2 linked regions of the Tribolium castaneum genome follow. The protein of the gene in region 1 binds, or shares a complex with, the protein of each later gene. Links are inferred from orthologs where the notes say so. Each region holds a gene or a part of one and is shown in the gene's direction. Other genes may lie near its edges.

The links. The genes of interacting proteins can lie anywhere in the genome.
Region 2: WDR79 (region 1) and Nop10 share a complex: the UniProt entries of both Homo sapiens proteins name them as parts of the telomerase holoenzyme complex. The link is inferred for Tribolium castaneum from reciprocal best matches to the Homo sapiens genes WRAP53 and NOP10.

What each region holds. Positions count from the first base shown.
Region 1 is NC_087399.1:12,232,571-12,238,070, reverse strand, and holds the start of WDR79 (telomerase Cajal body protein 1 homolog), read left to right. Parts: upstream 1-2,336; 5' UTR 2,337-2,489; coding exon 2,490-2,866; intron 2,867-5,500. UniProt on the Homo sapiens protein: RNA chaperone that plays a key role in telomere maintenance and RNA localization to Cajal bodies. Specifically recognizes and binds the Cajal body box (CAB box) present in both small Cajal body RNAs (scaRNAs) and telomerase RNA template component (TERC).
Region 2 is NC_087402.1:809,962-813,694, forward strand, and holds Nop10 (H/ACA ribonucleoprotein complex subunit 3), read left to right. Parts: upstream 1-2,333; 5' UTR 2,334-2,358; coding exon of another isoform or gene 2,359-2,417; 5' UTR 2,418-2,422; coding exon 2,423-2,476; exon of another isoform or gene 2,477-2,494; intron 2,495-2,528; coding exon 2,529-2,571; intron 2,572-2,622; coding exon 2,623-2,720; 3' UTR 2,721-2,786; downstream 2,787-3,733. Other genes in the region: nucleoporin Nup37, read right to left, coding at 1,140-1,754, 1,851-2,033, 2,081-2,139, 2,216-2,286, 2,359-2,417; DNA mismatch repair protein Msh3, read left to right, coding at 3,227-3,733. UniProt on the Homo sapiens protein: Required for ribosome biogenesis and telomere maintenance. Part of the H/ACA small nucleolar ribonucleoprotein (H/ACA snoRNP) complex, which catalyzes pseudouridylation of rRNA.

The sequences.
Region 1 (5,500 bases):
TTTGTCTTGATTTTATGTATTTTTATACGTCATTGTTATGTATTCTTTCGTTTTTAAATTTTAACCTTTTATGCATTATTTTGTCTGTCTTTTTGACGGCATTCACAATTTGAATTAAACATCACATTAAATTTCATGATGACTTGATGAACCACCATTTTTGAACACATTGTACTTATTTATTATCTGTTTCAAAACTATAAAAACGCCAACGTCGCATTTTACCGAATTATTTTTTTAAATAAGATTGATAAAATTGTAAAATAGATATCAATGATTAGATCTCTCATTGAAAGTATAAATTACAGTTGCCATTATTTCTTTGAAGTGCAATTTATAAAAGCTAATTTTAAGAAAAAATGCGACGTTGGCGGTTTTATAGTTTTGAAATAGCTAATATTAAGAGTTGAACGCATTTTACGACCAGTTAATATTATACGTTGTCTGAATGGTGTAATTCTTTTTTTATTCAAAAGACCCTTTATTTCTGAATAATTTTTGTATTTTGTTATATCTAAATTTTTTGTATAGAACGCCAACGTCGCAGTTTCTCTCAAAATTAGTTGTTATAAATTATTCAAGCACTTCTAAAAATTAAAAATTAGTGCAATTGAGCCGTCTAAGTGCAAGAGTAACTCTTTGCCAAAAATTCGAAAAATGGTTTACTTGCATTTTTATATTTTGAACTTGAACAACAATTTCATGATTTCTTTGTTTTTTTACAAAATTCATTTTTTAATAGAGTAAAACTATATAAAAATTTTGAGTTCAATTCAAGTGCAAAAATAACCATTTACTTTTGGAACCAATTGAAACTGTAGGATGGCATCATGTGACTTTTTGAATTTTCTTAGTTCTCAGTTATTGCTGAATTGAAAATTTAAAAAGAACGTTTGTTTCAACATATTTCCTAACTGCTGCTTAATCGTTTTTGAATTGTTTTAATTAAGTAGGTACCTATTTAAATTATTACAATTATTTACATGAATCAGATGCAAACCTCACCCTTTGTTTTCTGTAAATCTAAATTTCTCTTTTATCCGTGAACCACGATTTGTAGGTACAGCATATGGCAATCAATTTTTACACATAAAGCTACATAAAGAAAAATGGCCTTCAAATGTCATTATAACTTTTCAAAATAATTTTTCGCAAATATTTCAAAACTAACTTATTATCAAAGAATGGGTTTTGCATTTAGACGGCTCAATTTATAGTTTCATTGAGAGATCATTAATTATTTTACAATTTTATAAACCTTATTCAAAAATTTAATTTTGTAAAATGCGACGTAAGCGTTTTTATTGTTTTGAAACAACTAATAGAAGTGTCAACATTTCGTTGGTTCTTCAATTATTATGGGTTCACATTCATAAAAACCATTTCCTAGTGTAAATCTCTTAAACTTGGCTTTATACTCTAAATGAGTGCCAATGTTTCTATTAGTTGTTTCAAAACTATAAAAACGCCAACGTCTCATTTTCTCTCAAAATTAGCTGTTATAAATTATTCACTCACGTTAAGAAAATAATTGCCGAACTAATTTATAGTCTCAATGAGAGATCTACAATTATTAATAACTATTTTATAATTTTATCAATCTTATTTAAAAAAATAATTTGGTAAAATGCGACGTTAGCGTTTTTATAGTTTTGAAACAGCTAATAGTAACTTATAATAAGAAATTTGTCAGAATTGACAGTGTCTACAAAAGTAAGTTAGAACCTCTGAAAGTTTTTAAAATCTGTTATATATTCACTTAAATTAAATTTGTAAAGTTGTGAAAATGGTCTAGAATCAGGGTATCAGGACTAATATTTTGTTTTAATAAAAAATAAACAATTTATTTCAGTACTTGACTGCACTTGTGCTAGGTGTCAAATTTTGAAATGGAATTAGTACTGCCAATCTGTACACTAGAAAAACTGTAGGCACGGTGTACCAACCTAACAACTCTACAGCTAGTTGTTATCCATGTGAAAATATAGTATATTATATTGGTTTTGAAAATGCATTTAATTATTTAATTTAATTAATTAATGATTTCTTCACTTACTATAATTGTAATTAATAATTTTTCTATAACAACAGGGTATATTTTAATTTGTTGTGTTGTTTTTAATTGCAATTAATTGCAATACATGTCTGCATACTCTTTTATGTAAATGGCTCCAGAGACAAAATGGCTCATTAGCGACTAGGGGTTTATAAGCAAAAATTTTCTGTCTTGATGATCGCTATAAGATCCTAGCGTTTAGCAACATGTTTTTGAACCACGGTGTATAAAAGTAAATTTAAATCTCCCGCCACGATGTTGGTGTTTTTTGCGTCGCGGCTGATTTCGGTTGGCGACTTGCGATCGTTTATGTCATTTTCTGTAGACACATTCCGACGTTGTTGATCCATTTTCGGTGTATTTGTGGCAATTTTGTCGTGTTGACTGTAAAAAAGCCGTGAATGTGTTTAGTTTTTAGGTGTCGTTAATAAAAATGACGGAGACAGTGACGGATCAACAACAATACGAAGCGGGCGAGGCCGTGCTCGGGCAGTCGTTCGTCTCGTACGCCAATTATAACTTTGAGAACTCAGCTTTAGAATTAGCACGGTGTCAGTGGTCGAATTATGCCGATCAACATTACCTCAAAGGGTGTAAGTGGTCGCCCGATGGGACCTGTCTCCTTACTGTGGTCCGAGGGGCTGGGATGCATGTCATGGAGCTGCCAACTGATCTCTACACGGGGGAGACAATCATGAATAGCCGACCCCTTGTGGCGCTCAGCCCCGCTGTCAGTGTGCCTGAGAGTGGACTCATCTACGATTATTGTTGGTATCCGGGGATGAATAGCGCAAATCCAGCAACGTGTTGGTATGTTTTGCATTCTGGTTTTCTAAGAGGAAGGAAATGACTGTCAAATTACGAATGTTGAAATTGAACCCAACAGTTTAAAGTGTGATAACATTTTATCCTTTACTAATATTGATTATTGATTGTTCAGATCAGACTTTCTCCTATTTCCGGTTGCCTTCTTTTTGTCCTTGTTGGAGTACATTTCTTTTTTAATCACAAAATGTATAACATATAGTCGATTCTTTCGTATAATCAACTGTCCAAAGGGACGTCAGGTTGGCATTATCGTAAATAGTATTTTTTTTATTTAAAGCTGGTACTAATTTTTATCTGGCTAATTTAATTTAATGGTCTTTAAGGGAGAGAATGGAGTGTTATACTCAAAAGTAAAAGTTTTTGGAAATTGTAGATTCTGAAAGTAGACACAAAATGATGTCCTAGTACAATCGGTCTGAGTTATTTTAAATCGGTACTTTTTTAGTAATAATAGAAAATTTGCGCTGTGACGTAAGCAATGTCACGACTAATGATTCGTCAGTTTTTCCTGCATACAATTAACGCTGCGACTGTGTTGTGTGCTAATATTTTGCAGAAGTTTGTGTTTTGGTAAAATGACTGCAGACTGCTCCTGAAGCACATCTTTCAAGCTATCTTTGTTGGCAAGTTTTCTATCTCTAGTTCTGTCAAACAGCAACATTGCTGACGTCAGGCCAGGAATTTTCACCTTTTCAATTATTTTTCTCCAAAACGGTGGAGCTTTGGTTAAAATAAAAAAATCTGGGTCGCCTATTTTGTTATTGGCTATCCATGTAAAAATTTTCATTTTTTAGTATAACACCCCATGTTTTAAATAGTAACTGTTCACAATTGCCGCCACACTCTACGTCAACTGGCCAGAAAAAGGTCCATCAGTAGCTCGCAATAATTAATAATTTATTTGTTTGTTTAGATTGGAAGACATAGGTTTTTTTAAACTATTCTTATGCAAAATTTTCTCCTGATTTCGAATCCTAAGTTATATTTATTGTTTAAAATTGCCTTCATTATGAAAAAGACGTTTCTATAAAAATTTTTTAAAAACTTAAAAGTGGTCAAATTTTGTGTTTACATTATTATATCCTCCTTCTGGATAAAGCTAGAATACTTATTTTTTTGCAAAAGATTCAAGGGTCACCGAGTTCCCATTTGTTCGAAAATGTAATTTTAGAGATATTGGAAGTCGATTTTGACGTATGGCTTACTACTTGATTCAAATATTTTATTCGAAAATGTCAAGAAATTTTCATAAAATTATCATTTCGAATTTGGTATCGCAAAAAGTTTCACTACAATGTTAAAAAAAAGTGAATGCAGAAGACGAGTGCAGATCAAGGCAAATGATATCCTTGTTTATTGAAAAAAAAATCACATTTTTTGTTTTGAGATAATTTCTGTGGGATCTCGTGTCTGATTAGTTATTAGGTAATCAAATTGAAATCGAATTATTTTATTTTGTGCTATACAAAACGCAAAATAAATAAAAGGGAGAAACAGAATTTGGAAGAAACGAAATAGCTATTGAAAGTCAAAAAATTTAATTTGAAATATATAATACAAATTAAAAAAATTCTGTTTTAATTTCACCGAATAATGTTTCCAAAATGAAGAGTACACAGTGTTAATTTTTTTGTTTATACAAATTTTGGTTCCTGACGAATTTTAAGTTGTGTTCTTTGCCCCTTAGGGTTGCCAAAGATTACCTTTGCAACATTATGGATAATTATACTAGTTGATTTTTTTCTAAGACCAGTGTTATCCCCTTTATTCGTTTCCTGTACCTCAAAAACCAAAGGTCGAATTGTTTGCGTGATTCTAAGCTTCTAGTGTTATCCACTTATCACATTTTTAATGCAATTTTTTGTTAATTTGTTGAAACATCGTAAAAATTCACGATCTGTCACTGTCACTGTTAGTTTATGGAAAGATTTTTGTCGCTGTTATTTAACAGAGAATGTTGCGGTAGAAATGTTACTAACAGAGGGTAACAGAGTTTACGGAATACGAATTTAAATAACAGCTGTAATTTTTACAGTAATAGAGCAATTGCATAGTAACAGAAGTTAGAGAATAGCACCATTAATTTCCTCTATTAATTTCTAGAGTTCCTATATTTACAATAAATAAATTTCCCAATAAAGGAACTCTAAGTCGAACTATTTTGCTCATTATTAAAATTTTTATTTATGTCGCTGAATGCAACAGAGCGGAGAACAACTTTATTTATTGTAATGATATTTTAAACAATTTCAAGTACGAATAAACAATGCACTAAAAATTATAATAAATGCTCAAAGTTTTGGCATGCACCGTTTGTAATAGCGTTCCTGGGGTGATCGTAGCATTAGCGGCATGAATTCGGTTCATGAACTCCTCAGAAATTCTTCTAAAAATTGCTTCTTCTGCAGCAACGGTTTTCGTACCTCTGGGCTGACGAAATTCTCTTGGTAAAAGATCCAAAAGGGATCCAAACGACCAGTTGATCGCATTCTTTGGTCCAGTAAAAATAATAATGATCAGTATTTAAATCATTTTTGCACAGTAAAAGATTTAAATGACAAGTAAACCATGCACAGTATTTTATTAAAATTTGCTCAGTAAAAAAATCGTATATGT
Region 2 (3,733 bases), on another chromosome or scaffold:
ACCGTGCGGATAGGCGACCCAATGCTATCCTTATGGCAGCCATTTGCTGTCCGTTATATGCACAGTAGCGAGGTTTCGGTCGCTTTGAGTTTGTTTGGTTGCAAAGGCTCAAGGGCGGCTGCCGTGCATAAAACGGGGGCGAAATGGATGAAACTACCCGTACAATAAATATGATCCAATGACAATATGTACATGCAAAAATATAAAAATTTCTTACCTGATTCTACCAACAAACTGAACACACGGCTTCGTTCGTATTTGGACCCCACGCCACTTATGCGGTCTATAGGAGAGAATGGGCGTCGGGGATTGGTCGGGTTTGAAGTTGGCGCGTTGGCGCGACCAATCACGAGGAGTCTAAACCATTTTGTTACATTTCTTTTATGAACCAATAATATACTTAGTTACACAATAAATGACTTGGAGTGTTTATGGATACGTGAGGCGGGAAAATTATTATTAATTCAGATGTGGGGACCGATAATTGTTGGGAAAAAACGTTGGAAGGGTTTTGGAATAAGTATGAGGCTGGTAGTGATAGGTTATGTCACTTGTTTGGGGAAAAAAATCACGGATGCTCCATTTTCGTATCATTAACAATGTTTGTGCGATAACTGTGTTATCGTATTTCCTATTATTTGTAGCACAGCACAGTTACACAGAGGAAACAAATTGTATTAAGTAAATATTAAAAAAAACTCAAAATTGCGTTTTTTTATTTAAAAAAAATGTGTATGTTAATTTTTATGCAAATTTTCATTCAAAATATCATCTCTTGAACCTTTTGTAGTAAGTGATTTTTTTTAATTTAATAAACAAATGTTTGAAGTACTAAAATTTTCAGCATTGTCAATTGTTAAATTGCAAGGCTACTAAGATTTTTTGAAAATATTGATCAAATAATGATTATAACACATTTATTTCAATGACAGTTAAAAGAACATCGATTTTTTTGATTCTAGTACTATTTAAAAAAGATTACCAACATACATATACAACCCTCCATGATTGAGTGTATATGTAATAAAATTTTTTGTATTTTTTCTGAAATCAAAATACTCATGAAAAGTGTGTAAGAACTCAGGTAAGAAGTTCCGGAGAAAAAAATTAAATAAAACACAGAATTATGTGAAATATGTTTATTTTGAGACAACTTTCCAAAAAGTCAACGTCATATAATCGCCAACGCAAACAATTGGATATCGGCAATGCCAACTAACATTACTCGGAAGTGTGACAGGAACTGACAACTTCATTTGATTAATCTGACAATCAACAATTTTCAACGTACTATCTAGACTATTAATCGCCGCCACCAAATTCCCAAATGAATTAAACCTAACAAAACCTCCAGCTTCGGTAAAAACAAGAGTATTACTCGCCGGAACGCACGGCTTTGACAAATCCCAAATGAGTAATTCCCCTAACTGCAATGATGCCACTAATTGCGAATCGGACGGCGCCCAATGGGCACAAGCTAGGGGCTTCCCATAATCAAGCGATAGAATTGGATTTTGCGTCTCAACGTTGTAGAAACGAATTAAACCGATTTTTTCAGCAATGAGTAATTTTGAACCGTCGTCTTTGTGCCAACATACTGACATTCCAGGTGACGTCAGTTGCAGTGTCACCACACATTGAAAATCGGTGGTGTCCCATAGTTTGGCAGTGTTGTCGTCACTCACTGACACCAGAAAATTATTGTCAGGGTCGAATTTAACGTCGTTTATGTAACTGTTGTGCTCACTTAAGACCTAGTCAAAAAAATAATTAAAAAAAAAGGTTTTTATTTACTAATCACAGCCTACTCTTATGCCAATTCAAATCAATTTATTTATTTATTTACGAACCTTACACACATCAGAGCCCCTTAAATCACTCCGAAACACTCGCACCTTGTAGTCTTTGCAGGCCGCTGCGAAAATTATATTATTTGGTAAAATGCTGGTTGATGTTTCTGGGGAAAATGTTAAGGAACAGCAGCGTGATTTAAGAGTGAATTCTGCCAAAATATCGAGTTCCAGCGATTGTTCCTACAATTTTAATAAATCAAACATCATTCTATTGTTACAAAACATACCTCATCTATCTTTAAATGCCCCAGGACTACTTTACTTTCGAACCCAATTAAAATCAAATCTTGGGAAAGAATAAAAGGGGAGAATTCAATGTTTAGTATTTGTCCATATTCCGAAAAATCCTTCTTAAATACTACCTTGGAATCGTTCAAATGCGATGCAATTTCCATAATTATGTTTGATTAGAAAAGTGCGCCAGAAATCTAACCTACAATAACCTAACTTTAGTAACTTTTGTGTTATGTCACCATGCGGCGTCATATTGGTAACCAAAACTAACCTTAAACCACATTTGTTGTGAAGCGAAAAAAATCGTTTTTTTGTGGGAATTTTCTTCATTCAAGATGTACTTAATGTATTATTTGGATAAAGACGGTAACCGGGTTTACACCTTAAATGTGAGTGTTACTTTACTGTCTTAAATATTGTGATAAATGAGTTTTTTTGTAGAAATTTGACCCTTCAGGAAAACCCACACTTTCGGCACATCCAGGTAACAATTCGTGAATTTTGGGGGGTTTACGTGAACTCATTATTGTTTTAGCACGTTTTTCACCCGAGGACAAATACTCACGTGAGCGAATCACAATCAAAAAACGTTTCGGGTTATTAATGACGCAACAGCCGGAACCAATTTATTGAGAAATAGTTTATTTTATTATTGTGATGAGAATATTTTTTTGATATGAATAAAAAATCGTAAAATAATGTGTTTTTTTTTTGTCATGTTGCTGCTTCTTCTACATTCTTCAAGTTATCTTTTAGATGTCTTTTTCAAAAAGTTATAGTTTTACTTAGAATTTTTCAAAATTATTTAAAAAAAAACTTTAAAAGAATTCCCCAAAATTGGGAAAATTCACTAGGTTGGCACCACTAACGGCGCTTGATTTTCAGTGCCTTGTGTGAAGAATAAGTCATTTCTTGACTGTTTTGTGGTAGTAAACGCTTGTCTGAATAAAGGGCGTAAATTCCAGGCCGTTTGTTGGTCATTTTGTGTAAATTAGCCATAGAATACACACACATTAGCTTCGCATTTTAGGGACATTTGGTAGCGTTATCAGCGCCGCCCTTGCCTGTCATTGTCATTTGACACGCCATTTGTGAGAAACCTTTGTTCTTTCTCAAAAAAATCAATAAAATACGTAAAAATGGGCGATCCGAGCCCAAGTGATCAGTTAGAAGACGGTGAAATAGTTGACGATGATGATTTCGAAGCCATTTCCGATAATTCCATCATCGATTCAACTTTTGGTAAGTTTGCTTCAACTAACCAACATTTACGTGCACCCCCTTTAAGTAGCGATAGTGAATCAGACAAGATCAAAACTAAAAAGCTACTGCACCGTAAATCAAAGCACCAAAAACGGCGCAAAAAGCGCCGAATACCGTCGTCTGACGACAGTGACAGTGATGTGTCACCTCCTCAAGATCTCAAGGGCAAGTTAAAAGAGGCGATCCACATCAGTGGTAGTGATGAGGGGCTCAAAAAACCCCTCGAGACACGACTCAAAGCCATGGGGGGCCTGGCCGCGAGCGCCCCCGAGCCCCCCCAAAAAAACGAAGACACCTCAGATAAAATGGACGATACTGAACTGGAGAATTTGCGTTTGGAAGCGCTAAAGACCGCGATTTTGAACAAATTCCAACGCCGGAAG